Macaca fascicularis: one gene and its partners. The protein of the gene in region 3 interacts with the protein of the main gene of each other region in a biochemical or structural test. Links are inferred from orthologs where the notes say so. Each region holds a gene or a part of one and is shown on either strand. Other genes may lie near its edges.

Evidence for each region.
Region 1: the proteins of GNAZ (region 3) and RGS20 form a complex in vitro, tested with the Homo sapiens proteins (2 studies listed by BioGRID, with this or other methods). The link is inferred for Macaca fascicularis from reciprocal best matches to the Homo sapiens genes GNAZ and RGS20.
Region 2: the proteins of GNAZ (region 3) and LRRK1 form a complex in vitro, tested with the Homo sapiens proteins (2 studies listed by BioGRID and IntAct, with this or other methods). The link is inferred for Macaca fascicularis from reciprocal best matches to the Homo sapiens genes GNAZ and LRRK1.

Annotation. Positions count from the first base shown.
Region 1 is NC_088382.1:63,916,589-63,922,674, reverse strand, and holds part of RGS20 (regulator of G-protein signaling 20), read right to left. Parts: intron 3,228-6,086; coding exon 3,079-3,227; intron 1-3,078. UniProt on the Homo sapiens protein: Inhibits signal transduction by increasing the GTPase activity of G protein alpha subunits thereby driving them into their inactive GDP-bound form.
Region 2 is NC_088381.1:86,091,155-86,097,240, reverse strand, and holds part of LRRK1 (leucine-rich repeat serine/threonine-protein kinase 1), read right to left. Parts: intron 5,877-6,086; exon of another isoform or gene 5,874-5,876; coding exon 5,709-5,873; intron 4,712-5,708; coding exon 4,539-4,711; intron 3,439-4,538; coding exon 3,318-3,438; intron 3,073-3,317; coding exon 2,913-3,072; intron 1,762-2,912; coding exon 1,485-1,761; intron 1-1,484.
Region 3 is NC_088384.1:29,607,300-29,610,799, reverse strand, and holds part of GNAZ (guanine nucleotide-binding protein G(z) subunit alpha), read left to right. Parts: intron 1-275; 5' UTR 276-724; coding exon 725-1,447; intron 1,448-3,500. UniProt on the Homo sapiens protein: Guanine nucleotide-binding proteins (G proteins) are involved as modulators or transducers in various transmembrane signaling systems.

The DNA of each region.
Region 1 (6,086 bases), on a different chromosome or scaffold from region 3:
CATGATGTTGGAACATTTCATCATCCCCAGAAAGAACTCTACACATTAGCAGTAACTCCATCTTCCTTACTCATAGGCAACTGCTAATCTACTTTCTGTCTCTTTGAATTTACCTATTCTGGACGTTTCATGTAAGTGGAATAATAAAATATGTGGTCTTTCATATCTAGTTTCTTTCACTTAGCATAATGTTTTCACAGTTCATGCTATATTTTGGCGGTGTCAAGGCTTCATTCTTTTTTTTTTTTTTTTCCGATACAGAGTTTCGCTCTTATTGCCCAGGCTGGAGTGCAATGGTGCAATCTCAGCTCATTGCAGCCTCCATCTCCTGGGTTCAAGTGATTCTCCCACCTCAGCTTCCCAAGTAGCTGGGATTACAAGCATGCACCACCATGCCTGGCTAATTTTTTGTATTTTTTTTTAGTACAGACGGGGTTTCACCATGTTAACCAGGCTGGTCCTGAACTCCTGACCTCAGGTGATCCGCCCACCTCGGCTTCCCAAAGTGCTGGGTCACTCATTCCCTTTTTTTTTTTCTTTTTTTTTTGAGATGGAGTCTCACTGCTGCCCAGGCTGGAGTGCAGTGGCGTAATCTTGGCTCACTGCAACCTCCGCCCCCTGGGTTCAAGTAATTCTCCTGCCTCAGCTTCCCGAGTAGCTGGGATTACAGGTGCCTGCCACCGTGCCTGACTAATTGTTGTATTTTTAGTAGAAACGGGGTTTCACCATGTTGTCCGGGGTGGTCTTGATCTCTTGATCGGCCTGCCTTGTGATCCTCCTGCGTCGGCCTCCCAAAGTGCTGGGATTACAGGCGTGAGCCACCGCACCCAGCTGATCTTTTTTTAAAGGTGGGAATTGATTTTTGTACATGGTGCTATGTAGGAATATAAATATATTTTTATATATTTGGATACCAAGCAGGATGACCAATTTTCCTGGTTTGCCTAGCGTTTTCAGGTTTTCTGGGCTGTGGGACTTTTCAGTGCTAAAACTGAGAAAATCCTATCAGTGGGGATGAGTTGGTACCCAAACACCAAGTATCCTGCTATTTACTGAATAGTTCATTTTCTCCTTTGCTGATGCCACTTTTGTCACGTGTTGGTAAGGTTTTCTAGATTTATTGTCTTTCACTGATGTTAAAACGATAGGGTGTATTTTTGGACTAATTATGAATAACATTGCTTTTGAAAGAAAATTTTCTTATAACAATTTTTTCTAAGAAAGTCTGAATTATTTGATTTCTCTGTCATTGACATGAGACTGTTTACAGCTTTGGTTTCACACTTTTTTAACACAAAATTCAGTGCCACATTTTATATCAATATTTGACCCCGTTGTAGCTACAACTGTTACTTGTTTCCTGGGTCTTTCCTCTGGGTTCCCTTTTATCCCTCTGAACTAGGCCCTTTCTTCAGTTCTTTTAGGTTTGCAGGCAGTAAACTTGGTTGGCCTTCGTATGTCTGAGAATGTCTTATTTTACCCACACTCTTGAATTATGGTTTGACTTAGTTTTCAGTTACTTTTCTCCAGCACTTTGAAGACATTGCTCTATTGTCTCTTCTACACACACCTAAGTGCTACAGAAGTGTTGGCTATGGTGGTGATGATAGTGTCTAGGTACAGATTATTTTATTTGTCCTACTTGTTACCTGTAGGAGGAGCCTGCTCTGGGACGTGCCCCGCCCTCTAGCCTTACACTATCCCGGGACAATATGCTGTTCAGGTCAGCATGTCAGCCGCCTCCCACACCCTGCGCACGAGGCAGCAGAGAAAGGAGGGGAAGGTTTGAACATCAGCTGGAGTCTCACCTGCACTCGGACATCCTGCACATCTCTAGGAGGATCGTCTCGTTTCTGCACTGAGACCTACTGGCAGATTGAGAATATAGGCCCCTAAACGCAGTCTGGCCACCACTAGTGTCTTCCTCCTCTAGGGCAGGCCCTGGACACCCACGCATCTCCTCTGCCCACCACCAGCGCCTCTCCTCTGGCTTCCTGCAGAGCTGTCCAGAGTCCTACCAGGGCTGAAGTCTCACCTTGACACTGCCTAGCTGTCAGCCCCGGCCACATGTTTCCTCTTGCTGTGGGAATGAAGAGACCATCAGTATCGGGATCCCCCTGGTGGATGTTCTACTGCTGTGTCCCTTCCACCAGATTGGAACTTCTTGGAAATGAATAGTAGCCTGAGTTGGGCAGGAGCCACCAAACTTCCCCGGGCATTTCATTTTCAGCCTCCAATCTCCTTCCCGGGGATCAGTTCTGTTAGTTCCATTTCGCGGTCCGTGATCAGTCCAATATCAGTTTTTCTTCTTTTCCACAGGACAGTGAGGTCTTGGTCTAACTTATTGCCAAGCCTACATAAATTTAGGATGATTTGATTGCCGAAAATGGTTCACAGATTTGGCTGGCACTAAGCACTTTTCATATCCAAGATTCCAAAGATGTAACTTAAAGTTCCCATGATTTTTAGGTGTAAATTATCCCTTTTCTCCAGACCTTTAACAGCTACTCAAAGGGTCACGGATGTTTTACATCGTTTTTAAAGCAATGACTGTCTGTGTGTCTTTCTCTACCCAGTAAGTTAGCATATATTTTAATATTTGTCTCTATTTGAAACACATATTTTGACATTTCTCTTTATTACAAAACAAAATTTATGAAATGGAAGCAGCAGAAGGTAAAATCCAGGCTCCCTTTACTTCATCGTCCTAACCTTTAAGACCCATCTTAGATCCTAAGCCTTCATTACCCCAGGAGAGCCCCTAGTTCAATTCTTTCTAACCATTTCTGCCCAAATGTTGATAGTCAATCGTGAACCGCCGGAGGTTGTTCTTTAGTTGTTTAACACACGGTGGCCTGATTTGAGGGATCTGAGCATAAGCCCCTTAAGAGGTAGTCAGATGTAGCCTGTTGTTATTTCTGGGGTGTCCCTCTGTGTCAGGCATATAGTAGCTGCTTAAAAAACACTTACTGAATTAACCGTAAGCTACCACCACTATTCACAGGTGCCACTTCCCAGTCAGGAGCACATTACACTTCCCAGTCAGGGGCACATTAATTAAAAAGTCTGAAACCTTACCATGAGCAGCTACAACAGCAGCACCAGCAGAAGCAGCATGCGTTGGACCCGCGACTCCCCGCTCCTGGCTGGCCTGGGGCGGCGCCTGGTGCGTCCTGGGCCAGGGGCATCTGCCGCTTCCGCATCTCCATCCGCTCTGATCCCATCGGCTGCAAGAGGGAGAGGAACAAAGCGGGAGGGGGTTCCAGCGTTATGAAGGCGTAAGCCCAGGGAGTCAGCTGTCTGGATCATTGAACAGATACAGTGCGACTATATTCAGGTCATTTTTGCTACTTCTCGTAAAATTTAGTGCTTAGAATCTTAGGATCAATTAATGTATCCAACATGTAATGCTTATCCTCTGCCAAGCACTGAGATACATTCCAGGGATAAACTGGCAGATGGAAGGCCCCGCCTGAGGCGCTCACAGTTCAGTAAAGGAGACAGAAACGCACACGCACTGAAGACTCCGCAGGCAGTGCTATGCAGGGCCGCTCCCAGCTCCAGGCATCCCTGTGGCCTGAACCAAAGGGGGGCAGGCATGGTGGCAGCTTCATGACGCTGCCCGTGAGGCCAACACGCAAATATGGGAGGAGGTCAACATGGGAAGGGCGGCCCGGCTAATACAGCGACTGAGGAGAGGTCAGAAGAGGAGTCCTGGAGGCCAGAGTGGCCCGAGTCACATCTTTCCTAGCTGCGTCACCTTGCAGAAGTGATCGAAATTGGGATGCGGAAGCATTCAGAACCCTGCCTGGTATAGAGCAATTGCTCAATTATTCCCAGGAAGCCAGGCAGGAGAGCCAGACTGTGGCCTGCCCAGACCTGTCTTGCCATCAGGGACGGTCACCCTCACCTACTTCAGTGGAGGCCAAGCCATACGACACAAAAGATCTGTGCCCTTCAGCCTCTGCCCTGTTGTTGGGGACTCCAAGACTGTGAAAGAAGAGAGATATAGAAGCAGCAAGAGAAGCAAGAAATTGCTAAGCCCATTATACGTTGGATACTATCACTTGATGGAGCTAATTGCAAGCTAATATCAAGGACACACACATTAAAGAACCATAGGTAGGACTTTGGAATTAATTTCTGGATCTATTATTCTATTTCAACATTAGATTTGTCTGTTCCTATTGATTATTACCTAATCCTCCATACTACTGGACTTTGTTCTAATTATTTTATTTATTTTTATTTTTTAAATTATACTTTAAGTTCTGGGATACATGTGCAGAATGTGCAGGTTTGTTACATAGGTATACACGTGCCATGGTGGTTTGCTGCATCCATCAACCCGTCATCTACATTAGGTATTTCTCCTAATGCTATCTCTCCCCTAGCCCCCCACCCCCAGATAGGCCCCAGTGTGTGATGTTCCCCTCCCTGTGTCCATGTGTTCTCATTGTTCAACTCCCACTTATGAGTGAGAACATGTGGTGTTTGGTTTTCTGTTCTTGTGTTAGTTTGCTGAGAATGATGATTTCTAGCTTCATCCATGTTCCTGCAAAGGACATGAACTCATCCTTTTTTATGACTGCATAGTATTCCACGGTGTATATGTGCCACATTTTCTTTATCCAGTCTATCATTGATGGGCATTTGGGTTGGTTCTAAGTCTTTGCTATTGTGAACAGTGCTGCAATAAACATACACGTGCATGTGTCTTTATAGTAGAATGATTTCTAATCCTTTGGGTATATACTCAGTAATAGGATTGCTGGGTCAAATGGTATTTCTGGTTCTAGATCCTTGAGGAATCGCCACACTGTCTTCCATAATGGTTGAACTAATTCACACTCCCACCAACAGTATAAAAGTGTTCCTATTTCTTCACATCCTCTCCAGCACCTGTTGTTTCCTGACTTTTTAATGATTGCGATTCTAACTGGTGTGAGATGGTATCTCATTGTGGTTTTGATTTGCATTTCTCTAATGACCAGTGATGAAGAACTTTTTTTCATATGTTTGTTGGCTGCATAAATGTCTTATTTTGAGAAGTGTCTATTCATATCCTTTGCCCACTTTTTGATGGGGTTGTTTTTTTCTTGTAAATTTAAGTTCCTTATAGATTCTGGATAATTAGCCTTTTATCAGATGGATAGATTGCAAAAATTTTCTCCCATTCTGTAGGTTGCCTGTTCACTCTGATGGTAGTTTCTTTTGCTGTGCAGAAGTCCTTTGTTTTAATTAGATCCCATGTGTCAATTTTTGCTTTTGTTGCCATTGCTTTTGGTGTTTTAGTCATGAAGTCTTTGCCCATGAGTATGTCCTTAATGGTATTGCCTAGGTTTTCTTCTAGGGTTTTTATGGTTTTAGGTCTTATGTTTAAGTCTTTAATCCATCTTGAGTTAATTTGTGTATAAGGTGTAAGGAAGGGGTCCGATTTCAGTTTTCTGCATATGGTAGCCAGTTTTCCCAACACCATTTATTAAATAGGGAATCCTTTCCCCATTCCTTGTTTTTGTCAGGTTTGTCAAAGATCAGATGGTTGTAGATGTGTGGCGTTATTTCTGAAGCCTCTGTTCTGTTCCATTGGTCTATATATCTGTTTTGGTACCAGTACCACGTTGTTTTGGTTATTGTAGCATCGTAGTATAGTTTAAAGTCAGGTAGCATGATGCCTCCAGCTTCGTTCTTTTTGCTTAGGATTGTCTTGGCTATACAAACTCCATTTTGGTTCCATATGAAATTTAAAGTAGTTTTTCCAATTCCGTGAAGAAAGTCAATGGTAGCTTGATGGAGACAGCATTGAATCTATAAATTACTTAGGGCAGTATGGCCATTTTCAGGATATTGATTCTTCCTGTCCGTGAGCATGGAATGTTTTTCCATTTGTTTGTGTCCTCTCTTATTTCCTTGAGCAGTGGTTTGTAGTTCTCCTTGAAGAGGTCCTTCACATCCCTTGTAAGTTGTATTCCTAGTATTTTATTCTCTTTGTAGCAATTGTGAATGGGAGTTCAGTCATGATTTGGCTCTCTGTATGTCTATTATTGCTGTATAGGAATGCTTGTGATTTTTGCACATTTTGTATC
Region 2 (6,086 bases), on a different chromosome or scaffold from region 3:
CAAAAACAGAAGCAGGTGTGGGTGTCACAAGGAGGAAAGGGCCAGTCAACAGAATTGTTTCACTGGGAGATGACAGGGCCATATCATGGCAGGTGGGGTGAGGATGGGTGTCACGGATACAGGGAGGAATTTCGAGCCTAGAGTGCCCCTCCCTGAGCACGGTTCCATGGGTGGGGGGTGGGGGAAGGTGATCGGTGGGACCAGACAGCAGAGGAGAGAACGCAGGTGTCTCAGACGTGATGCGTCAGTCGCCATGCCAGATTTCCAGGTGGGAGCAATTTGGAAGCCCAGGCCTGAGCCTCTGGATGCTGGGCCCTGCTGAAAATCTGGGAATTCTTCCTTTGGGGCATGGAGGACCAAGGCAGCTGAATTGATGGCTTGGGCAAAGTGCAGGGGAGGGGCCTGCTGAGGACACTGGAGGCTGGAAGGGAGGGTGGCAGGGTCCCCTCATGGAGAAGGCCCTCCAGAGGGGAGGGTCAGTACTTGGGGTAGGGTCAGCAGAGGACAGGAGGGGTACCTGGGGGCACCTAGAGGGCTGCCTGGCCACCAGCACAAAGTGATGAGGAGCAGCAGATGCTGGGGAGCAAGGAAAGGAGGAAAAGGAGGAGAGAGGCTCATTTGTTTTGTTTGCAGTTTAGGACTGGTGAGGCCTGGGTATGTTAAAGATCCAGGAGAAGTCCACAGAAAGAGGCGATGATTAGCTACTATATGGAGTGCCTCTATTTGACCCTCGGACCATCCACCCTGGAGTAGTTGATCATGTTGCTCTCATGATTTAATCATGTTGGACTGCATTTTGAACTAGGCTGTGTAATTAGCACGTACATCCTAGTCAGTCACTCTTTTTTTTTTTGAGGAGTCTCGCTCTGTTGCCCAGGCTGGAGTGCAGAGGTGTGATCTCTGTTCACTGCAACCTCTGCCTCCTGGGTTCAAGCAATTCTCCTGCTTCAGTCTCCCAAGTAGCTAGGATTACAGGCACACACTGCCACGCCTGGCTGATTTTTGTATTTTTAGTAGAAACGGGGTTTCACCATATTGGTCAGGCTGGTCTTGAACTCCTGACCTCAATTGATCTGGCCGCCTCGGCCTCCCAAAGAGTTGGGATTACAGGTGTGAGCCACCTAACTGGCCACTCATTCTCATTTACCAAATAACCAAGCAATCAAGCCTCTGTAAAGTGAAATTCCCACAAATTATTTTTAATGACATCCTTTCACGTTTTCCTACACTTTTTCAATAAGTGGATTTCTTTTAACTCCCTGAACAGAGAACCCCGGGGCACAGGAGGGAGTGGCCAGCTGTGCTCACTGTCCCGCTGACCCAGGCCAGGCAAGCAGGTCATCAGGTGCTGGCCTGTCCCTAGGGGGCAGCAGTGGCAGCACTGATCCCTGGAAATCTTGTTCAGGCCACCAGTGGCTCCAGACCCCAAATCCCTCTTTCGGGGAGCAACCTGCACAGCCTGGCATGGTAAGTTGTATCCTCACCTGTCATTGGCGACGGGCAGGGCGATCTCAAACTTGGCCAGGAACTGGAAGTACTGCTCTTCCGTCTGCTGTGTGAAGCCAGTCCCCACCAGTAGCATCCTGAGGTCTTCTGCTCTGATCACCCCATTCTTGGCCACTGACCGGGAGCCCTTAATGTTAAAGATCCTCTGCAGACATTCGGACAGCCAAATAGGGTCGAGGAAGTAGAGGTTCCTCAGGCCGTGGCTGGTGTCTGGGAAGTGTAGCAGGGTGCCAGTTTCTATGAGGAAGCTGATGGCTGCCCCAGGCAAGGAGAGGAGGAAGCAGCAGTTAGACAAAGGAGCGAAAGGGACTCTGGGGTGGCCTTACTTTCCAAGGGGACCCAGGTCACAAATTCTTCCTAGGAAGAAACCAACATGCCCCACATGCTGGACCCTTCAGGTGGGTTGGCAGCCTGATCACAGGTGCCCTGGTGGCCCCTGGTAACTCTTGCCAAAGTCCTAGGCTAATGGCCACCTCGGTAACTACAGTTGATCCTCATTATTTGTGGATTCCGCCTTTGCAAATTTGCCTTCTTACTAAAATTTATCTGCGACCCCCAAATCAATGCTCCTGTGGTTATTTGCAGACATGTGCTGAGTGGTGAAAAGTTTGCATTGACCAATGTGCACATTCCCAGCGGAGGCTGAACAGGGCAACACTCTCAACTCTCGTGCTGAAAACAGGGGCCTGCTTAGTGGTCTATGTCAGTGCCATGTTTTTTGAATTTTTGTGCTTTTTGTTGATGCTTTCACTGTTTAAAATGGTCCCAAGTGAAGTGCTGAAGCGCTGTGTAGTTCCCTAAGCGTGAGAAGGCTGCGATGTGCCTTATGGAGAAAACCTGTGTGTTAGATAAGTTTTGTTCAGGAATGAGCAACAGTACTGTTAACCATGAGTTCAATGCCAACAAATCAACACTATATATTAAGTACAGTGTCTTTAAGCAGCAACACACATAAAACAAGGTTCTGTATTGATGGGCTGATGAGAATGTTCTGACCAGAGGCTTGCAGGAGCTGAACCCTGCGTCTCTCCTAGGAGCACTGGTTTAGTATTTGCTATTTCAGTGATCATGGTGACTTTACAGAACATAAGTCCTGTGGCTAATGAGAATCGATTGTAACTGTTTGACCTCTGTCTCCCTGACTGAACGTCAGCCCTGGAGGGCATGGACCAGTCCATCAGTTTATATGTCTGCCCTTGTGGCCAACACAATGCTGGTGTAGAGTAGCTGTTTGTGTTCTCTACCTCCAAGGAAAGAAGGGTGAGAGGGAAGAAGGAAGGGGAGGGGGATGGAAGACAGAAACACAGGCTGATTATCGGTCTCTCATTCATTGCTGAGGGCCAGGCTGAAGTACAGACAGTTCCATTTCTCACGGGCACCCTGCCGCCCACCCCAGCCCCACCCACCCGACTGCAGGTCCTCGTAGTCTTTGATGTCATTGTCGGGCGTCTGCTCCACCAGCTGCTCCAGCTGCCTGTCCGTCAGGTACTGCACGTCGTCGTCCAGGCTGCGGCGCTGCTGCTCTGCCAGCACGGCCTCCTGCAGACTCAGGTAGCTCCTGGGGATCTGGGGGACAGACGGACGAGGCAATTCCCGAGGCATGCCCGCCAGCTGGGGCAGATCCTGCCTGGCCCCTGTGGCCTGAGTGGGTGGGACATTTCCACCCACTATCTTCCATCCTGACCCTCCCTCACCAAGAACGACTGAGCCTTGCCACATGGACATGGGCTTCACAGGAGAGAGGGGAAGTGAGGATCCCCAACAATGGGAAGCAGGCCTACTGGTTTAAGCTGGACGAGCGAGGTACCCACCAGCCTCCCTGCCAGTCGCTGGCAGCCGATGGTGCTGCCCACGTCCTTCATGCTGCACGTGACGTGGAAGATCAGCTGCCGCAGCCCTTCCTGGCCTTCCAGGCTCTTGCAGGAAATCTCACTGTGTGCAAAAAGACCCGTCTTTACTCATCGTGCCCCACTCCGAGGAAGTGCTGCAGCTTCTCTGTTTTCCCAAGAGGTTTGTCCTGAATGCTGGCAAGTCTGGAGAACTCATGAAAGACAACACAAGAAGTTTACTGAGGCCTTGCTTTGTGCAAATCACTGTGCTGGGTGCCCCACACTGTCGCTTTAGTCTGTCTTCCTAGACCAAACATGGCACTTCACAGAGAAGGAAAGTGAGGTGCAGAGGTACATTGAGACCCCCAAGGGCACAAGCTGGGCAGGCACAGGCTCACGCAGGCTGGTCTCAGGTTCTGACCCAGAGCCAGGGCTCCTCTTATCACAGACCCTATGGGACTTTCTCAAGGTCAAAGCAATAATTCCTGACAGCCTCATCCCGTATTCCGAGCCAGGCCAATGTGTCCCAGGCTGACCCACGCACCAATACCCATGACGCTCCACCCCGGGCGAGGGAATCTGAGAGCTGCCAGGGCAGCTAATGCAATGTGCAGTATATTTTACTCCCATTAGGGCACACAATTTGCTGAACCTCAGCTTCTTCATCTACAAGGTGGCAAACAATCCCCACAACCAGTGACAGGAGGTCAGCCCAGGGCAATTGAACTTATCTGCATGGACACGTCGTGATGCCCACCCGAAAGCCCCTCCCAACTCTTGGCCTTTTTTAACTCAAAGGCTGCTATCAGGACCACTCAGACCAAAGGCAAGGGCTAGGTCCTCCCTCCCCAGGGTCTGTCCTTGATCAGTGATCAAAAAATGAGATGGGCAGCAATTGGATGGGTGGTGCCCATGTTCAGTCACCTGGTTCAATGGGCACCATGCAGTTTCAGCACTGGCCCTTGGGGCGGGGACAGGGCAGAAAGGAAGCAAAGAGGGGGCATCTCCAGGCCTCACCCAGCCAGCTGTCTGGTAGGTCTTCACCCTCTCCAAGGCTGGGTCAGCTCTGTGGACTGCCCCCCCTTGGCCAGGGAAGGGGCCTAGCCCCACCCAGCCTCAGGAGCTCTCTGTAAGCAGATCCCAGGAAGGATCAGCGACTGGCACCCACATGAAGGCGGGAGCTGCTAGAGGCTGGGCACTCACTGTAAGTGTTTGAAGGTGATGTCTGGGAAGCCTGTGGCCCTGGAGCCGGAGGGGGAGCGGCAGAGCGCCAGCACATAGGCACGCAGCGTTGCAATCCTTTCCACACGGAACTTGGCTTCAATTAAATCCAGGTGTGTCCCGACCACCAGCACCACGGCATTTGGGGCCTTGGCCTGCAACAGAGAACCCCACGGCTGAGTATCGTCTCTGTTCACTGAACAAGGGACAGGACAGAGCTCCCAGCTGTGCTGACCCCGGATGCCACAGCCCTTGCTCAGCCACCAATCTGCAGCCTTGAGATGGTTTGGATGTTTTTCTCCTCCAAATCTTATGTTGAAATGTGATCCCCAGTGTTGGAGGTGAGGCCTGATGGTAGGTTGGGTCATGGAGGTAGATCCCTCATGAATGGCTTGGTGCCCTCCTGCAGTAATGAATGCATTCACCCTATGTCAGTTCACAGAGGAGCTGATTGTGAAAAGGAGCCTGGCTCTTCCTCCTCTCTCTCCTGCTCCCTCTCTCACCATGTAACATGCTGGCTCTCCTTCTCTTCTGCCATGACTAAAAACTTCCTGAGGCCTAACCAAAAGCCAAGCAGATGCTGAAGCCATGCTTGTATAGTCTGTGGAACTGTGAGCCAAATAAACCTCTTTTCTTCATAAATTACTCAGTCTCAGTCATTCCTTTATAGTAATGCAAAACAGACTGCTATAGGAATGTCAGCCCAGGCAGCACCTGTGCTCCTCATTCTCTGTAAACCCCGAGGGACCGTTGCATTGAGGGGTGTCTATGGTGTTCTGGGACCTCCTCTGCAGAGGGTGCTGAGTTGGACTTGTGAGAAGGGATTTCCGACCCTTCAGACATGACAGCAGCCATCAGAGGCAGGGAGACAAGGACATCTTTATAACGGGAAGAGAACCCTGCTCCCCTTTGGATCCAAGGGTGGGGGTTCCTAAATTTAAGGAAAGCAGGGAAATTACAAGAGCACCACCAGCCCTCAGCAGAGAAAGGTTTCAAGTGCCTCATTGCGAAAAGCAAGCAGGACCACGGTTCTGGGGACCTCCGTGGAACACAGCTCCTTTTTTTCTCAGTAGAGGGGATGCTTGAGAAAAGCAGTCGGATCTGCGAAGCTCTGGGAACTGAAATGGCGGGGCTGGCGTCTGGTGTCCTCACCTCGATGTTGAGCAGCCAGAACTGGAGGTTGGCCACGGCCTCCTCCCCCAGTGCCAGGTTCCAGACCACCACATACAGGGCCTTGTCTGTGAAGAAGCACTGGTTGACAGTGGCCATGCTGGCCGGTCCCCCGATGTCCCAGACGTTGAACTCCACAGACTCAACCTACTTGAGCAACAGGGCAGTGACAGGGAGGCATTTTAGAGACAAAGGCTTCAGTCAATCAAAGAGAGACAACTGATAACTCTGGAAGCTGTACTTGGGGGTCTGAAAAAAAAACAACCGTGGAAAAGTTCTGGACACCCTATAGTTTCTTAGGAAGCAGTTATCGGGGCGAGGGACAGGGGCCCAGTGGCATGGGAGTGGGACTTCTGTCTA
Region 3 (3,500 bases):
CATGGGGGCTGGGTGGGCAGAGGCCTCGCACACACCCTCCTCTCCCTCATGCACCTGGCTTCAGGCAGACTGTCCAGGCAGCAGCAGACACACGTGTTACACCGTGGTGTGGACCCTGCAGTGCCCCATGGAGGAGAGGGGGTCGGATGGATTGTTGCCGGCTCATTTTCCAAGGCCAGTCTCTGCTGCTTGGCTTTCAGAAGAGCTCCCTTTCACTGTCCAGCCTGAGGTGGGGCCACAGGGAGGAGGCTCACACTCTTCTCTGTGTTTGGCAGGTGAAGGGCTGGATGCACAGTGGGAGCCGGAGGCGGGGGGCTGCAGGGAGCACAGCAGTGACCAGCCCTCCAACCCTCCAACCACTCAGCAACATCGCCACAGCAACCAGCAACCAGACGGCAGCAGCCGAGGCAGACACAAGCGGACGGCTTCCCACCGTCGCTGAGGACAGGGAATGACTACGGCAAATCAGGCCACTTTGCTGACTAGGGAGGTGGAGTGTCACTAGTGGGGAGGGGCGGCCGCCGCCCGCTGCACAGAGCGCCATGCCGGCTGGAGAAGAAGCACTGGGGCAGGGGCTGCAGTGTGGCTCGGCCTCACCCCCCTGCTGGCACTGAGTGCCTCCAGGGCAGCTGGGCTCTCGTCTGCCTGGTCTCAGCGTCCCCTGTGGTAAGAGGGAGAGGCGCCCCGTCCCGTGCTCCTTGTCTGGGCCCGCTGCTGCCAGACCATGGGATGTCGGCAAAGCTCAGAGGAAAAAGAAGCAGCCCGGCGGTCCCGGAGAATTGACCGCCACCTGCGCTCAGAGAGCCAACGACAGCGCCGCGAGATCAAGCTGCTCCTGCTGGGCACCAGCAACTCAGGCAAGAGCACCATCGTCAAACAGATGAAGATCATCCACAGCGGCGGCTTCAACCTGGAGGCCTGCAAGGAGTACAAGCCCCTCATCATCTACAACGCCATCGACTCGCTGACCCGCATCATCCGGGCCCTGGCCGCCCTCAGGATCGATTTCCACAACCCCGACCGCGCCTACGACGCTGTGCAGCTCTTCGCGCTGACAGGCCCCGCTGAGAGCAAGGGCGAGATCACACCCGAGCTGCTGGGCGTCATGCGGCGGCTCTGGGCCGACCCAGGGGCACAGGCCTGCTTCAGCCGCTCCAGCGAGTATCACCTGGAGGACAACGCGGCCTACTACCTGAACGACCTGGAGCGCATTGCCGCAGCTGACTACATCCCTACTGTCGAGGACATCCTGCGCTCCCGGGACATGACCACGGGCATCGTGGAGAACAAGTTCACCTTCAAGGAGCTCACCTTCAAGATGGTGGACGTGGGGGGGCAGAGGTCAGAGCGCAAAAAGTGGATCCACTGCTTCGAGGGCGTCACAGCCATCATCTTCTGTGTGGAGCTCAGCGGCTACGACCTGAAACTCTACGAGGATAACCAGACAGTAAGTGGGGCCGGGGGTTTTCCTCTGCTTGTTCCTGCTGTCACGGGTTCTTGGAAGCAAGAGGACTCGCGAGGTCCAGGACCGTCCGCAGCCAGAAAGGGAACCAGGCGCAGGCCTGGCCCTGCTGCACGATAACTGAGGCGGCTCCAGCAAGGTGGGGGCAGAGGGAACAGGGTGTGGAGTGCAGGTGTCATGTCCCATGCCTGAAGTACTCAGGGTGTGGAGGCCACAGGGCAAGAGAGTGTGAGGCTCCGCCGGGCATCCGTGGTCAGTCCGTGTGATAGTTTGGCAAATCCATGAAGCTCCTGCCAGCACCAGTCTCCTACCAGCATGTAGGTCCAGGAACAGCAGCCAGCCCCGCAACCCCATCTTGAGCCTGAGAGTCTGGCAGAGATGGGGTTAAGAGCTCTTTAGAAGGGATAAGCCAGGTCCTGGTGGAAAGGGGACGACGTGAAAGCAGGTGTTGGGATTCTTTCACAGTGGCATGGGCACAGCCCGAGGGAGACCTGGGCCCAGTGCCAAGCACTGGGGGCTTGAGAGTGGAGTTGCTGGAGAGAGTGGGGAGCCAGGTGAAGCAGTGGAGCAGTGTGCTCAGGCCCAGCCAATACAGAAGGTCTAGCACACGAAGGGGGCCACAGCCAGGAGTGGCAGTGGTAGAGGCTGTGGCAGACAAGGGAGGGGCTGTCTTGCCCAGCAGGACGCCCTGAGCACAGATTTCAAGTCTCTCCTTAAGAGAGAGGCCTTTGACCCTGGGGATGGGATAGTGGGGGCAAACAAGGAGTCATGAAGTTGTGGGTGCCCTGGGGCTAGCGGAGGGTGATACTGGGAGACAAGGGCCCAGCCTCCCACTTGGGAGCACTGGCCTCTGAGGTCACTCCTTGCTTCACCCAGTCCTAAGGCAAGCTTTATTCTTTGGGTTCAGCCGAGAGCAACAATGGTTCTAGCTTTGGCCCTGTGCCCCAGCCAGGGAAACTGGACAGCTCCAGGCTGTGGCCATGGTGCTAGGAGCCTGAGTGTTCTGAGAGAGGATCTTCGGCTTTCATCAGGCAGCTGGGGAGGCAGGCTTGCCTCCCTCCACTCCTCGCTTCAGGGCTCTCCCTGGAACTGTGCCTACGTGTTGATGGCATGCCTGGGGGAAACGAATGATGGATGGGCAGGCAGGTGTGTACACAGGCGGCTGCATCCACCCTGCTCCCAGTGTGTATCTGTGTGCTCTCCAGGGTTCTGCCCCTTACCCTATGGTTGCCCCCAGTTCAGCCCCATGTGTGGTTCTGGGCAGAGGGGACATCCCAGCAGATGAGTGAGGTCAGGCTCCCTTGATGAGGCATGGCCATGGGCAGAGGCCTTGGGGCTGAGAAGCTGCAAGGCAAAATGAGGTGCTCAGGCTGGACCCCTGGGACAGTGCCATGGTGGGTCTGCCAGCCACCCTGCAGCTGCCAGTCACACGGGCTTGCACCACTGGCCTCATCCATCAACTCAGTGGCAGGCATGGCAAATTCCCCAGACACCAGGCCTGGCTCCCAGTTGCATCCTTTGACCGGCTGTGCCCGCAGGTGTGCTGGACCCAGGAGGCAGGATACCTGGGCCTTGAGTTGGTCCAATGTTTCATGGAGGGCTTCGGCTGTTACCTTTGCTTTCTGAACTTGTCAGTGAGGAGATGACCCAGGTGTCTTCACAGATGGGCCCAAGGCTAGGCCTTTGCCTGCCCACAGCCCTCTCAGCTCTGCCTGGCCTGTGCCTCCCACCTTGCTGCCTCTCTCTTCTCTCCTTCTGCTCCAGCCGTGGTCAACATGTTTTGCTCCAGCAATATTGCTCTGTCCAGCCTTAGGCTTGTAACGATCCTGATACCTGCCTCTCACCCCCCTGCCCTTATCCTTCAGGTCTTATCCCAAGTGGCGCCTCCTGGGAGGCCTTTTCTAACCTAGCCTGGCACCTCTACACCCCTCTATCTAGTAATGTGTGAGTGAGCTCCTCAGGGCAGGCCCTGGATGGGCTGGGGGCCGCTGTGGGCCCTCGCATCTCTAGTCTTCCCTCTCCCAGGGCTGTCCCTGGG